2 linked regions of the Arabidopsis thaliana genome follow. The protein of the gene in region 2 purifies or fractionates together with the protein of the main gene of each other region. This does not show direct contact. Each region holds a gene or a part of one and is shown on either strand. Other genes may lie near its edges.

What was found. Proteins that work in one complex are often made in the same cells at the same time.
Region 1: the proteins of AT5G20810 (region 2) and CAM9 purify together in Arabidopsis thaliana (affinity purification with western blotting, with the first as the bait; one study listed by BioGRID). This does not show direct contact.

The regions. Positions count from the first base shown.
Region 1 is NC_003074.8:19,264,595-19,272,846, reverse strand, and holds CAM9 (calmodulin 9), read left to right. Parts: upstream 1-3,188; 5' UTR 3,189-3,532; coding exon 3,533-3,608; intron 3,609-3,701; coding exon 3,702-3,862; intron 3,863-3,952; coding exon 3,953-4,030; intron 4,031-4,528; coding exon 4,529-4,669; 3' UTR 4,670-4,896; downstream 4,897-8,252. Other genes in the region: AT3G51930 (Transducin/WD40 repeat-like superfamily protein), read right to left, coding at 1-1,175; HSFA7A (heat shock transcription factor A7A), read right to left, coding at 6,228-6,782, 7,290-7,553. UniProt on the Arabidopsis thaliana protein: Potential calcium sensor.
Region 2 is NC_003076.8:7,039,302-7,047,719, reverse strand, and holds AT5G20810 (SAUR-like auxin-responsive protein family), read right to left. Parts: upstream 3,920-8,418; 5' UTR 3,531-3,919; intron 2,987-3,530; 5' UTR 2,930-2,986; coding exon 2,357-2,929; 3' UTR 2,197-2,356; coding exon of another isoform or gene 2,165-2,196; 3' UTR 2,008-2,164; downstream 1-2,007. Other genes in the region: AT5G20820 (SAUR-like auxin-responsive protein family), read left to right, coding at 426-809; AT5G20790 (uncharacterized protein), read left to right, coding at 7,093-7,674.

The sequences.
Region 1 (8,252 bases), on a different chromosome or scaffold from region 2:
CAAACCCTGAGACTCTTGTCAAGGCCTCCACTGTAAAGCATGAAGCCAGCACCGACATTGTTTGGCGACGCTTGTAAGCATTTGACCGGACCTTCATGGCCATGTATGACTCCGAATTTACAGAGCATGCCAGTCACTTCTCTCCTCCACAACCCAATGCTCTTATCAGCCGATCCACTGCATACCATTTCCCCAACTACACACATACACAGAACTGCCATGTTATGTCCTCTTGTCTCAAACCCTAATCTCCATTCCTCAAAGTCTCCTTCTTTCTCTTTCTTCTCCCATCCGATCACAAACCCGTCTGATCCTCCTCCGTATACCCAATTACCGTCACCGGAAACCACCACCGAGTTCACTGACACCTCTGCACGACCCTCCAACGTAGCCTTCAAAACATGTAAAGAAGAGGAAGAGGAAGAAGTAGACTCAATCTGCTTTCTCTTCTCTTTCCCCCATATCTTGACCTTCCCATCTGCGGAAGCAGAGTATACCCTGCCATCTCCGGCGACAAGACCATTGATTGCGTCATCATGAGCCTTGATCGATTCAAGACACTTGAGATCCGACAGTCTCCAGACTTTGAGAGTCTTATCCCACGATCCAGAGTAGATTATCCCAGCGTGTACCGCAAGGCACGAAATGCTATCGGCGTGTTCAATCCAGAGACGCTTATGGTTCCTCCTCGTCTGAACGTAATTGCTCTGTTTCATAAACTTCCCCAGATAGTCTTTAGTCGTGGGAAGTGTATCAACAAGCCTGAAAGCATTCTCAGAGTTTCTCCGAGAAACTTTCCAAACTCTGATTCTACTATCTTGATGCGCCGTGAACACTTTGCTTCCCACGCTGACCAAAGCCTTCACAGACCCATCACCTTGTCCGAATTTCGCAAAGATCTTGAGATCAGGCTGTTGCCAAACGATGATATCTTTTCCCTGAGACGCACTCAGCAAGAACTCACCACAGAGCGCTAAGGAAGAAACAGAGCCGACATGAGCAGAGAGAACAGCGAGTGGCTTGTACGCGCCGGTGATAGGCGGACGGAGAGTGTTGAGGACGAAGCTTTTGGTGGACGCAGATGGGCTGAGAGAACCGTCGGAGTCGTTGCTGTTGCTTGTGGTTGAGGAAGAAGATGAAGACATCAAGACTCCTTCTTGGATTGATCTCACCATCGTATCAAGAGATTCAAGATTTCGTTTCTATTTTGGAACAGAGAAACCAACAAAATTGGAGCGTTTGAGGAAATGTTAAAAAGAGTATTTATTTTTAAAAAGGAGGAGAAGGTGCAACGGCTACATTGACAGGTGGCGTAGCCTCCTTTTTTTGCCTTTTGCTTATCATTTGCGCATTTTCATTAATTCGTGATATATGGCTCATGGAATCTTATAATATATGAAACCACTTCAGGAGCCTTAAATTTAATGTGTGCATATCATAGTAACGGATTGATCATTGTTCTCTTGTTTGACCAGTGATGTTAATTGGACCATATGTGGATACTGTAACGTTAAGGATTATGAAAATCAAGATATAGATATATGTATTTTTCAAGTATACGATATACCAAATTAGTTACGACAAAATGCGAATGAGTTGGTAGTAATGAGTAAACCTCAAAATACTGTTTTTTTTTTGTCAACAAACTTATGTTATTATACTTGGATGACTTAAATAAGCTAAACCGAAAAACATTGTTTAACCTCAAAATACTTATTTAATTAGTTGGTAGCATCGTTACATATTATAATTACGACTACGAGTTAGATTCTCAAATAATATTCCCAAATGGATATATTTACATCGATTGATGCATGCTTATTTGTAGTGATCGTCCCTTATGTATATTATGTTTTTATTTTATTTTTTGAACATAGTATAATATTGGTGGGAGAAGACAAAAATAAGGGAGCTCTGCCATCTAATACGGGAATCAAGATATCTGTTTTACATCAAACAAAGACTAGTGTGATGAAATGAAAGTTAAGTTAACAACAATAAAAAACAAAATTAGCTGAAAATGTAATCAAATGAGAGATCCGAATCCGATCTCCGCTAAGTAAAGCGTAGTGGGAGCGTAAATTCGCGTGAGTCTGATTCTGAATCGTATCATACATACCAAATCAAACATTAACGTTTATGATCTTACTTACCCATATCTTATTTCTTAATTTGTTTGGTTGTTTGTAAATGAGAAATACACTATGATAAGAGAAGAAGATCTAAATGAGGCATAGATCTCTAGATACCAAAACAGATAACGCCACCAACTAACATCCAATTAAGGATATATAACACGGCATCTCCCTCTTTAGTAAGCTTACGACCAAAGTAGTGTGACTAGTGCGGAACATTTTTGCAGTTAATACTACTTAGCCTCAATTCTTAATTATGACCGTATGGGACAGGGTAGGTAGGCACAAAGCGGATATTGTTTTTAATATATTTGCATCGAATTTGGTTTGTTGGATCGATAATCTTTTAATATGTATCCGCTTTTGAACTAGTCTATTCTCCGATTGTAGAATGAAACATCTATCCGAAATTCTAATTTGTAGTATTAGTGATTTGTTTTGTTTTTAACAGTATTTTAATATTTGTTTAAATTTGTAAACTTATGGTTATCCAGACTTTTTGAATCATTCAAAAGTGGAAAACAGATCGAATGGAAGTATAGAACACTACAATATATTTTCATATTTTTCTTAGCCGTAAGCCACTAATATTGGATGGACATAAACATAAGAGACCCCACAATATTTATCAGATTAAGCCTTTATTCACATTACAATGTTTCGTTCTCAACTTCTCATCATAACGTGAATAAAAGTAGGAGTTAGAATTAGAACACAACATCTCTAACAAATCTCTTATCTGCATTGCTTTGGAGAGACATGTTTGTACAAGAAGAAAAATGTTTATGGTCAGTCCGTTTTTTTCATATTGATTACCTTTTAAATCCCATTTGGTATTAAAAAAAACCCACTTCTAAGATATGTTTCGCTTTTTATGGTAACAAGACATATAACTTTTCAAAGTTACTGAATGGAATTCTTGACAGAAGTTGTTAGGACACTAAATAATGGAAAATCAAAATCAAGGGTTACATTAGAGACACGCGTACATCAATTATTTCTTAAAATGCAACTTGGTGTACGACTTTTAATTCTTGAGTCCTCAAACCCGAGCATTACTCCACCCTTTCTTTTCGCAATAATCAAGATCCTAATTTAATTCCCTATAAGTATTTTTTCTAATAACTATGAAAATAAAGAAAAATAAGCGTTGAAGTCATAAGTTTGAACAAAGACGCGTGACCTGGAATCGTGCTCAAGAAAAAATATCACAACTAATGAAAACGCAAGGTCATGAGTATTGACCTTGACCGGGCAAGAGCCTAGAGCCAAGAGGTGATGTGTACTTAAATGTGATAGATGCTCCCTTCTTCTTCTCTCATCACTAACAAATTAAGAGAAGCTGATCATCAGATTGAATCAAAGACAGACTTTGACTTTTCTTTGTGATCGAAGATATGGCGGATGCTTTCACAGATGAACAGATCCAAGAGTTTTACGAAGCCTTCTGTCTCATAGACAAAGATTCCGATGGTCTGCTTTGTTCTCTCTCTTTCTTGTTCGATTTGATACACAAATTTATTCAGAATCGATCGGTTTGATGATGTTATGATGCATGTGAAACAGGGTTCATCACGAAGGAGAAGCTAACGAAAGTGATGAAGTCGATGGGGAAGAATCCAAAGGCGGAACAACTGCAACAGATGATGAGCGATGTTGACATCTTTGGCAACGGTGGCATCACTTTTGATGATTTCTTGTATATTATGGCTCAAAACACTTCTCAGGTAAAATATATATACACACTTAAAACCGTTTAGTTATAGTAAAGATTGATAATTGTAGAGAAAAGTTAATAATGAAAAAATTGGTTGTAGGAATCAGCATCGGATGAGTTAATTGAGGTATTCAGAGTGTTCGACAGAGACGGAGATGGTCTCATATCTCAACTTGAGGTAAATAAATTGTCTAACTATTTACCAAATAGTACATTGTCCTGACATGGAAACAATAAAAAACGAGTTACATACATATATAATAAGATTAAGTGATCATGTAGATGGATATAACGAAAGAAGAGAAATTACTAAATGTTACTTTTTTGAAGACCTTGTTATTATTATCTTTATAATCTACTATCATTCACTCATTACAACACAAATTTTTGTCGCCATAAGAAACTCCATTGCTCATATGGTCTTGTTTTTTTTTTCTCAAACCGACACGGCGACAACACAACAATCGAGAGACACATAGTCACATACTACTTGAAAAATACTTCGTTATCTGAATTAAAAAGATTTATATTCAAAAATAATGCAAAAAAGATTGGTCATTTAACTTGGTCAAATGGTTATTAGCTTACTTTTATAATATAAGCCATTCTCTTAACTCTTAAGTCTTAACTATAGTTTATTTAGCCATTTCTCCTAATTTCTATAAACGAAATGCAGTTGGGAGAAGGAATGAAGGACATGGGGATGAAGATAACAGCAGAAGAAGCGGAGCATATGGTCCGAGAAGCCGACCTTGATGGCGATGGTTTTCTTTCTTTCCACGAATTCTCTAAAATGATGATTGCTGCCTCTTATTAGCATTTTGTGAAATGCCATGATTTAAGAGTTTGTTTTTGCACAATTACAACTATATTTCAATATGTTACTATATTTTCCCAACATATAATTAAAGTGTGTGTTACTGAATCAATGATTTTTTTCGGTCGATAAAAAACTATAATATTTTTCCTATCCAAAATTCGAACCAAACCAAACCAAACCAAAAGTATTGTTCTGTTTTAAACATATGTTTTTTAAACCGGAAAATCCAAACCGAACTAAACCGAGAGTAATTATCTGACTCGGTCACTCGACGGTAGCGTGCCACAATTGAACTGGTGGTCGATCCTTAACTTCCATCTTCAATCCTTGCAAAACCCTAATGAAGAAGCAGTCTGAAGAACCAAAAATCAGTGGTTTTTTAATAAGTAAATGGTGAGAAAATCTGTTGAACTGTCGAATTTGTTTATAACCTATCAGCTTTGCTATAAATTGTTTGTTCCAAATTCCAATTCAAGTCCCCATCATTGAAGGTTAAGTAGCTTTGCTTTTTTGTCTGCCGACGGTTGTTGTAGAAATTTATGATGTTCTTGATGCTTGTCACTTTCACTCATATTGAGATCTGTCTCTCGATTCATGTTTCTTCATCACAGTGGACACAAAATGACCTAGAAGCTGAGATAGTATATTTACATTGAGTAGAGCAATTTAGTACTTGCAATATTCGTTTTAGTAGTGTCTAAAAAAGATAAGGCTTTGGTTGAACTCCATTCTAAAACCCTTACGACTGATTGAGCAAGAATCTTTACATTGATTATAGCTTTGTTTCCGTGGAAAAGTTTCTACAGTCCAGCCATGCAAACAAGGCGATGGCAACATAGGAAGGAGATAGGAGATTGATTAGATTTTTTTTTTGTCAATCAACAACTAGCTGCTGTAGAAGAAACTTTAGATCAGAAAACAGAACAGCTAATCACTGCTAAAGAGTTTTCCTCTTCTTTGTCATGAGACATTCCACCATCTTGTGGATTCTTGATCTTTGTAGCAATCTTCTTGCTCATAGTTGTCTTTGCTCTCATTTTAAAGTTATTTTCTTGAAGACTAGAGATCAGAATTTTGACCGGAGAGAGTAAACCATATTACATGATTCCACTAAATTAACACTGTTACAGGTTAGAATCACGGACATGGATGATTGCTCACTCATGTGGACTTGTCTTAACACTGACCCAAATAAGCCAAAACTCCTTAATAGCATTAAATGATGTGAAAAAGAGAGATCACATTTGGAAAAAGGGTTTAGGGCAAAAAAGAGTGAAGCAGACAAAGACATCATTCAACGTCATCAATAGGTCTTTGTAAGAAGAGATCAGAGAAGAGTTTAGATGGAGTTAATAACAATCATATTTATCACATACATATACACATATATGAAAGAATTAACCATTTTTTTGTTTACACTACTACTACTACTACTTGATAACAAAATTACTGCAAATTAATTAAACAAACAGAAAAAGTTTTTTTTTTGTGACAGAAGAAAATGAGCTTGAAAGTAGAAGAAACTAAAAACAAAACCAAAAAGAAATCCATCTAGTTAGGAGGTGGAAGCCAAACTCTCATCACTAAGCAACTCTTCCCAGAAACCATCATCCAACTCTCTCTCTACCACCAGTTGATGATCCTCTTCTTCCAACATATTCCTCTGTTTTCCATGCCCTTGCATCTCCAAAGCCAAAACTTCCAATTCCGACATCGAAGAAGAACCTCTTTTCCTCTTTGCTGACTCATTATCCTCAAGCTCCTTAATTTTTTTATCTCTTTGTTTCAACAACTGATGCAAAAACGAAGGACTCTGCATTGCTCTAGCCAGAAACGACATCATTTGTCTCTGTTTCCTCTCTGTTCCTTCTATCCTCTGTTCCATAGCTTTGATGTAGCTTTTCGTTGTTTGTTGCTGCTGTCTTAGACTCACTATCTCCATCATTAGCACTTGCTTCTCTCTGCGAAGCTCGTTGCAAGCGTCATGGCTTGGTGAAGATGATGGAGTAAAAGGGTTTCTCCTCTTGATGTTCTTCAACAACTGTCTTTGTCCTAACAAAAACTCTTCGTTTGCAAATTCCCATCTCTCTGCTTCTATCTTTCTGAAACCCTGTAATTTTTTTAACATAAGTATTCAAAAACTAATCTTTTGAAAGTCTACATATTCTCACAAACATCAATAATTGGAGTGAGAACTCTTTCTATGTTTTTATATGTTAAAGAATGGAACAAGTGGGCAACGTTAAAGCTGATTAGTGAATAAACAATGGAAATTGGGATAAGATCGCTGACTGTTTCTTTTGATTATTTTAGTAAGCAAGTTGACACGAAACTTGCTTCTGGAACTTACTAAACCTTCTTCTACTCCACTAGCCATTACGGAATCTACATTTTCGATGTTTCTAGAATGCTAAATTAACAACAGATTCTGCTGTAAAAAATGACTTTTTTCCATTACCAAGTTAATTATATAGTAACATTCAGAATACTTCGCGGTAATTTTCCAGCAACAAGGGAAATGAAAGTTAAAAAAATAAAAGAAAAAAACAGAGCATTCCTCTGCTTTGAATGCTCTGTTTTGTGTTTGGTCAGAGAATACAGAGCAGAGAAGACTCACATAAGTATTGAGTTGTCTGATGAAACTTGAGAAATTGCTGTGTTTGAAATGACGAGGAAGGAGAATCGTGGAGAAAGAATGCAAATCCCAGACGACAAAACTTGTTCCTCCTCTGTTCCAAGATACGATGTGGTCAGTGTTTGGATCATCCACCATCTCAAATGTCTTGGTCAGAAATGGAGGTGGAGCATTTTCGTGTAAACCCTCCATTGGTTGTGGTGGTGGTGGTGGATCGCAGCCTTCCGGGAGAAACGGGTTCATCATCCTGAGGTAACGGGTTTTGAAAAACCCAATTGGAAATTAAAGACAAGATTCTTGATGATTTCGATTAACCAGTCTCCGAAGTTGAGTTCATCATCTTCGGATTTTGAAAAACTGGTCGGATTAAGTTCGTTTATGGCAGTTGATGGAGTGAGGAAGGTAATGTCCACGTAAGATAATTTTGAGGTGGCTTTATATAGGAAGAGTAGAAAGTGAGTGATGATATTAGATTTGATTAAAATATTTGTAAAAATTATTATTATAGTACACTCAAGTTAGAAATTAGAAACTTCTGGAAACGGTTTTGGACCTTTTTGATGCACATTCGAATAGTCGAAACTTCTGGAACTTCGTAATTGAGGACTGTACGGTATGGTTTTCACATTGTTAGTATTAGGACCCACCTTTTGTGTTTTACAAATATAAAAACAAAGAGTGATGCAAATGGCAAATTGTAATTGGGTTAAGTTTGGTTTTAATGTTGATGTGGCTGTTGTCTCATCTTGACATTTGGCTTGGGTCTAAACCGGATTGGTTAAGGCTAAAATAAAACCAACCAGAAGTACTCCAAGAGTTGATTGACAAATTCCCTGCAATTCGAAGGCCTCCATTAATTTCTGACTAGTAAATTTCTTAGGTATTTTTCTTTATAATATATAAGTTAGAGATATTTATAAAATATACACTTTTATATTAATATAT
Region 2 (8,418 bases):
TAAGAAAATGGTTATGGGGAAATGATGATGTATATGGTTGACTGGGATAACAAAAACTTTTGGAGTGATGTGGGTTTGCATGTTTTAATATATACTTTTAGCTTTATCTTTCCAATTCATAATCATAATCTTTTCGAATAATTGCTTCCGGCTCTTGGAAACTTTTAGATCATTGGATAATGGCTATTCAAAAATCGGTTGATAACCTAAACGTTCTCAAACTTATTAAAACCATGAAATTATACTGAAAATAATAATACTATAATTACGAATCTACCCTTAGCAAGTTATATAAGAACATCATTCTCCTTTCTCTCTTCGACATCGACATTCCTCTTCCTCGCTTCTCTCTCTCTCTCTCTCTCACCGGAAAACTCACTCGGACTTACATTTCCGACGTCAAACTTCTCCAAACCGAATCGGTAATGGCGAAAGGAGGAAACAAACTGATGAAGCTGAAATCAGTTTTGAAGAAACTCAATTCATTCAACACCAAGCCTAACCAGCCACCAGCTCAAACCAATCACAGCCGATCCTCCGCCGTGAGTGCGTTCCCCTCTGAAGACCTTCAAACTGTCTACGTAGGCCGAACACGGAGGACATACCACGTGAGCTCCGATGTCGTGAGCCACCCGCTCTTCCAGCAGCTAGCGGCGGTGGATGGTGGATGCGGCAGCGAGGACGGTTCCATCTCTGTGTCGTGCGAAGTTGTCTTGTTTGAGCATTTGCTTTGGATGTTGGAGAACGCCGACGCCGATGAGTCACGCCCCGAGTCGGTCTACGAACTTGTCGAGTTCTACGCTTGTTAACTCTTTATGATTAATTTAGGTTCAAAATATATTTATGATTAAATGTTACATGTTTGTATATTCTACACTTTGTATACTTTACACTTTACATAGTATTTCGTGAAATAATCTATTTTCTGTTAAATGATACAACAACGATAAAATAAATGTTTAAATGTGTAAATATTGTCTTGCAAGTTGCAATGTAGTTTAAAAATGATGATTTTTTAATGGTTATACAAAGAGCTAAAACTAATTGCAATGTCAATGTTGTATTTGACTGACTTCGTGAACTAGATCAATCACGGGCTACAAAATTTCAAACCCTAATCAATTCATCTTATCTACTTTAGATTGATTGGCCCCTACGTATTTAAATATATTTATAAAATTTATCCGTGTATCTTTTTTTTTCCATAAAAACATACGTATACACGCATGTCATGCACAATTGCACATAAACATACAAACTAAACAATTAAACAATGAACGTATTATATAGATAAATAATTTTGATAAAGTCTAGACGGATTTGCATCTTTTAAAGTCGCAAAAGAAATATGATGACTGAGAAAAAAAAATATAATAAATTAAATCTACATGTGATGTTTTTTAATTTTTGTTTTGGCAAAAGTCATGTAAGAAACTGATTTTATTTGGTAAAATGCAGAATGAAAAAAAAAACGATTAAACATATTTAGGCTTTATGTGAAAAATTAGAAACGAAATTTTTTTCTGACTGGATCGCTAACAGACGAATGCAAGACTTGGAATGGGGTACACCGCTTTTTGGAGATTGGAAACACATGGAAAACCAAATAAGTAGTGCTTGGTGACTTTGGTCCCATAGCAAAGGGTGAAGTTGTGTCTTTCCTGAATTCGAGTGCATGCTGTTTGGGAGAATTCTTTAACTGTTAGCTCCGGCCCAAACAATCGTAAGTAGTGTATACGAATTATATACCAAATCCGACCAGTTCTTGACAATTCGACCACAATCCATCTTCCCCACATTGTTGCATATTATTCATTAGTCTACTTGATTGTCACACATAACAATTTTCGATAACAACATCGAAGAAGAAGACAAGAAATGTGAACATGTTTTCGTACAAGAAGTTATATTTTTGTTTCGTATCACACTTTGACCACCAAATTTTTTCACATCTAACATACATGTCCTAAAACTTAAATCCCCCTTGAAAAAAGAATGGAGAATCAATAAAGAAACCAGGAAAACACAAAGATAATCTGATTTTACAATTACACCCCAAAGTAATCATCCCTAATTAACAATTTCCATCAGTATATGATTAAAGGATAACAAGAGAATCAAAACAAAATAAATGTTTTAAGATTTTTTATCACTTGACTTGTATTTACTCTTCCTTTGCTGCTACTGCCTCCCCATCTGCAAAAGACAAGACAAAGCCATTAGTGTTTCTCAAGAATCAGCATAACAGTGTCTAATAACTAATCGTCTTGCTTGTTCTCTCATCAAACAAACTTGTGAATGTTAACGGGCTTGGCCCGGCCCATTTTAAACGCAGCATGTTTTTAGACCTGATTCTTCAGGGTTTAGACTTTAACCCAGTCCCTGGATTAAGCCTTGGCTGGCCACCAGGATTTGAGTTCATGGTATGATCTCTAGGTAAGAGTTGGTCTTTGGGGGGCTTACCAGAGTTGTCATCAGGATGAAGATCTTTAAGATTGTTCTCCATGCACTTAAGCAAGTACTTGAAAGTCTCGACCTCGCAAGGGATGGTGAGCGCACCGCTCTGATCAAACCCAAACTCTTCCTCTGCTTTCTCGAGCAAAACCTTGAACAGAGAGTGGCTAAGATAGCTTGTCGGTATGATAAACCTCCTTAGCTCCGGTCCAACATAAACAGCAAGATTCCCTTTAGGAACATCATGAGGCGGCTCAGGACTTTGACAGGTTTCCTCATCCGAGTCACCGTTCTTGACATCTAATAGCCTCTTGTTGATGGCGGGCGAAATCATCGCCACTGCTTGCTTTCCAGCTGCCAATGGAGGAACTTCTGACTTGGGGCCTATGGTGACGGTTTGCCATTTCTGCAAAATCTCCTTAAGCCTGACAATCTGCCTGATACCGGTTAACTTGGCCGCGTTGTTTTCATCCATCTGGCTAGTATAACGAAAGATCAAATGTCACATATGATCTTCTTCTTCCCTTTGTAGCTGCATTTACAATGTCACAAAACTGTTTGATTAGTTTCTTTCTGACTCAGTTGCATCAAAATAAATGAAAATACACATTACTATAAATCTGTGTAACGAGAAAGAATTAAAAATCAATTAACCAAGTTTATTGACCTCTAAATCAATTTGAAGCATTACTATATAAATAGGTTAGGTCCCAAATAAAGAAAAGAATATCATCAAAAAAAACAGAGGACCCACCCAAATACACAGAGAAGCAGATCCCAAAGACGTCTTTATCAAGGGAATGTTTTCTCAGATTCCTAAATATTATTAGGGTCCAATTCTTATCTATGGTAAACCAAATCAATCTAAAGAACATCAAACCCTAAGTTTTTTTTAAAATATAATTTCGCTAACTTTATTTAGCAAAATCAGCGAAAATGAATCCAGATTTGATCCCAATCCGCTAAATCAAAGTTCTTCTCAAAAACTGTAAATAGTTCAGATGAAACCAAAACACGTAGCTGAAACAGACTAATACGCAATCGTGTAAATTACATTATCAAAGAGTATAAATTACCTGAAGAGGAAAACGAATTGAAGCTTGCTTTAGCTATGGACACGATGAATAACACCATGCAAAAAAAAATAGCCCCCGAAAATTTGTTTGTTATGATTCGCTTCGATCTTTTTTTTAAGGATAATTCTGTTCTCGGAGACTGGCAGAGCTCAACGATGATGATGATATGAGAGGAAGAAGCAATTTCTAAGTACTGAAACTACAAAAAAAAAATTAAGAAAAAAAAATCGATAGAATCTAAATATTTGGTGGGGGTGAAAAAAAAACGAATAGAGAAGCGAATTTTGGGAGATGAGAGAAATTAGGGATTAGGCTTTATTTGGATTTTATAGTTTTTGAGTTTTCTTCGTTTTTGATTCTCTCTCGCACAGATTTGTTTTGATGGCTTTCCCGTCACTTTCGCCTTTTCAGGTTCTTCCGTTTTATTTTCTCACGTTCTTCTCGATACCGATGGTTACTTTATTTTCAATTTGACCCCTTTACTCCGATATTTACTTTATTTTACAATTTTACCCCTTTACTACTTTATTATTCATTTAACACCTCATCCGTGCCTTCCTTGTTAAAGTTTTTAATTATGTGATCTATAATGTATTATGTACTTTAACTTATTATTATTATTTTATAATAATTTACTTAACTTAGTTGATCCTGTTAATTTATGATATATCAATTTAGTAATAAGATAATTTATGTCAGAAGCTTATTATAAGATGTGGGCTTATTCTAAAGAAAAGATTATATAATTGTGGATAGTGTTCTTTTTGCTGAGGATCATGGATGGATTTTACAAAATCTTCTCTCATGTGCATTGTTTTTGATAAAGTTTCTTCTCATAATTAAATTCTTGAATTAGACAGTTCTATCTGTCTAAATGGGCCGTAGTATAACCTTTTCTATAAGGAGTAGTCTGATGGGCTTAAATGGTTGGTCTATAAGTTATTTATGATTTTTTTGTTTTTCTAAGAGTCTTATATATATTTTTTAATAAAAATATGACTCTTTTAATTTAGTAATAAAACATATCTTTCTTCTTTTTATTTCTATTTATAGGAGTTTTTATTTATTAAAACTTTTTATTTCTATTTTAGAAGTTTTTATTTATTAAAAAAAACAAGACAAGGAAATACGGAATGGTTCTTCGTAAATGTGTTAACTATTTAAGTGAAGAGAGTGTAATTTGGTCATTGTATACTAACTTAAATACAAAACAAAAAAAAAACGACGTTTACACTTTTTTTTTTTGTCATCTGCTTTTAATTATAACTCAAAAGAGTCATTCCTGTGGAATGTTGTTTACATAAGTGATGTGATGCGATTCAGAACGGACATTCCGTGCCAAATTATCCGCTTTTACATTTGCGCGTCGTGAGATTAAAGATAAAGAGAAGTTTGAAAACTCATCCTTGTCGCTCTGAAATTCCTAGAAATATCCTGAAAATGCTGGCCATTCGGTTGGGGAAGACACCATCTTCCCAGGTCTGAACAGTCTGTAAAGAACGCTACATCTTAGTTATCTGCACCGATCATACACTTCATCCCCCAAAGAAGAGCTTCAACTTCTGTATGTAATGGGGAGAGACTTCTACGGAGATTAGTAGTGCCCATGCTTGAGGTTTCTTCATTTGATGATGTACAAAACCATCCTAATCCTGAAAACTGATCACTCTCTTTCCAAGATCCGTCTACAAAACAACGAAGTCCTGCATAAACATTATCCTCTGAGATATTTCTCACACGAGTTCGTGATTCCAAAAAAGAAACCGGATTTTCAGAATGTAGCTCAACTTGAGCTGATTTCCACGATTGTGCTTCTTTTTCCGCTAAACTTAAAATATCAAGTGGATCTTTATCCACATTATCAAAAAGCTTTGCATTCCGTGCTTTCCAAATATACCAGATAATCCATGGATATGAAAATGAATCAACTGCTGATTGTACTCTCCAAAATAAGTGATCTAAATTCTCATAAATAGAATCCGAGGGAAAAATTCCTATAACCGTGGGAATCTGTGAAAGCGCCCAAATCTGTCGAGCTGGATGACATTGAAAAAGTGTATGATTAATTGTTTTCTCCGTGGCACCGCATCTTGCGCAACCTATATCACAATTTATGCCTCTTTTCCGTAAATTTTCTCTGACCGGCACGCAACTCGCTAAAATTTGCCACAAAAAGTGGCGTAGCTTTGGCGGACATTGCACTTTCCAAGAATATGCTTTAAGCAATGTGATCTCCGGACCAATAAAAGACAAATTTGTATCTATATATTCTATCCGAGAAGTATGATATCCAGATTTGAAAGTATATTTTCCGGATTTTGTAAAATGCCAACCTAGAGTATCCTCTTTGTTGGGCGCACCCACATGCAGGGCACTTATCAACGGGATATCATTTGGATCAAAAATCTCATGTAAAATATCCATTTTCCAAAAGTTTGACCTTCTGTCAATAAGGTTACTTACTTTTAAAGATGGATCAATAACAGACCCATTACTTTTTGCTGGTCTCGGGAATTGAGCTGAAATCCAAGGATCCTCCCAAACGGAGATGGATGCCCCAGATCCGACTCTTTTAATTAATCCTTTTTTAACCAGAGATCTAGCTGAGCAAATACTTTTCCATCCATAAGATGGAGAGTACGATTTAATATTTTCTATAGGATTAGATTTCCGAAAATACCTTCCTTTGAAAACCTTTGCAAATAGTGAATCTGGAACCGTAATCAACCGCCATAATTGTTTTGCTAGAAGCGCAGAATTAAATCATCTACATTTCAAAAACCTAATCCACTATCTACCTTACTATCACATAATTTATTCCAAGTCATCCAATGCATGCTTTTAGAATCGACATTTGAACTCCACCAAAATTTAGCGACCGCACTTGTAAGCTTAGAAGTAATGGTTTTTGGTAGTCTGAAACAAGACATAACATAAGTTAGTAATGCTGAAGCTACCGATTTAATCATCACTTCTTTCCCATCCTTTAATAAAAATTTGGCCGACCAACCATTAATTCTAGTTTATAATCTATCTCTAATAAAAGAAAATATTTTTGTCTAACCGACGTTTACACTACTAATAAGCGATTTTCCACCACTTATATAACTCAACTTCTAAAAAATTAATATTCAAAATTTAAATCGATAATAAAGTTATCTAAATTTAGTGATGTACGAACACGGAACATCCTCCACCTAGTAAATGTTGTATCGGTCATGCACACAACCGTAACGTAAGCACACGAACAAAGAGTCGTATTGAAAGTCTATTAAGTTTGTTATATGTTTTCTATTATTAAAATCCATAAGGAGAATAACTCTTTGGGCTATATGCGCATCTTTCTTCAAGACAGAAGCATCTTTCGCTCTCGATTCTCAGCATCTACCAAATATTCATACTTCCACTTGCTCTTCATCCAACGGCTTACCTTTCCTCACTCAACTTGCTCTTCATCCGACGGTCCAGATTTCATCTATATATCCCTTCTCTCTCTCCTTTATATAACCGACTGAATCGTTCACCTCTTTGCAAAATTATACACACTTCAATAAAGAGATCGATGTCGACTTTGGAATCTCCATTAGAGGCGTTGGCGTTTGAATACGCTAGCTTAGGTGTTTTCGCCGTCGTCAACAACGTCTGGACATGGATCGCCGTCGTGACTGCCGCTGTCAGCTTCTGGAGGATCAGAGTCACAACCATAGGAGTCGGAGACGGCCATGCATGTGTCTTGATAGAAGAATTAACCGGTTCTAAATCTGAAAACGAATCCGGTCGTCTCGAACCGAAATCAATAACCGGTCCGGTCAAAGAAACGGTTGCACGAGTGAAGGAAACGGTTACGAAAACGGAGCCGTTAATATGCGATGACGGAGTGACAAAGGGGAAGCTGACGATGTGCTACGAGGTAGACGTTGACGTTGACGGTGGGAGGTGTGTTAACGGAGATTTAACGGCAGTTAGCTACGGAGGAGGTTTGGGTAATTGTGGCGGGGATTGGTGGGAGAAATGGGATGGAGTGGTGAGGATGAGAAATGGTGATGACAGTTGGTACCGTTACGTGGATTTAACGGTGATTAATGGAAATGTGGTAAGGTTATGGGATGACAACAAAACACTAGTAACGGCGGCATGTGTCTAAATTAGAGAAGTTTCATATTTCGGAAAGTTTTTAAATCTTGAGAAGCTTTCTTGGTTTGAAGTGTTTTTTTTTTGTTGGTTGATTAAGTTGTAATTTGTAAATAATTTTCACACAAGAGACCAAGAAGGAACGCTTAAATCAATATCAATTGGTGTTGATTCCCAGCTTTTTCTAGTCGAACTTAGGTAACACGTCCATTGCGATGATGAATTCGTGACAAGGGGTCAACTATTTGAACACAACAAACAAGTGCGTTTTCTTGTTAAGGCCCATCTAAAATTGACTACACACATTTACTTTTAGGCCCATTTTAAACTTGACTGTAGCCTGTAGGCATGTATTTGTTCGTGTTACTCCCAGCCTCAAACCCGCAAAATCCACGAATTCTTCTTACTTAGTCTAGACTCTGGTCTGATCGACGTACCCGGATTTTTTTTAGCTCAGTTTGGCTCTAACATAGCTACATAGTTTTTTCGGATATTTTTTGGTCGACAGCTTTATTCGTGTAGCTTAAATGAGCCAACTCTGAGAAATATTATTTTCTGATATTTCTTTGAAACAATAGATCATTTTTAAAAGTAATATACTTTTTTACAAATGCGAGTTAAGGCAATGCAAAAATGAAAACCGAACATATTTTAAATCATACTAATAAAAAAATAGTATAAATCACATTTTAAAACGGAAAACGGGAAATTTGCATAAGGCATGTAATATTATTATCACCATCCTGATTTGTATATA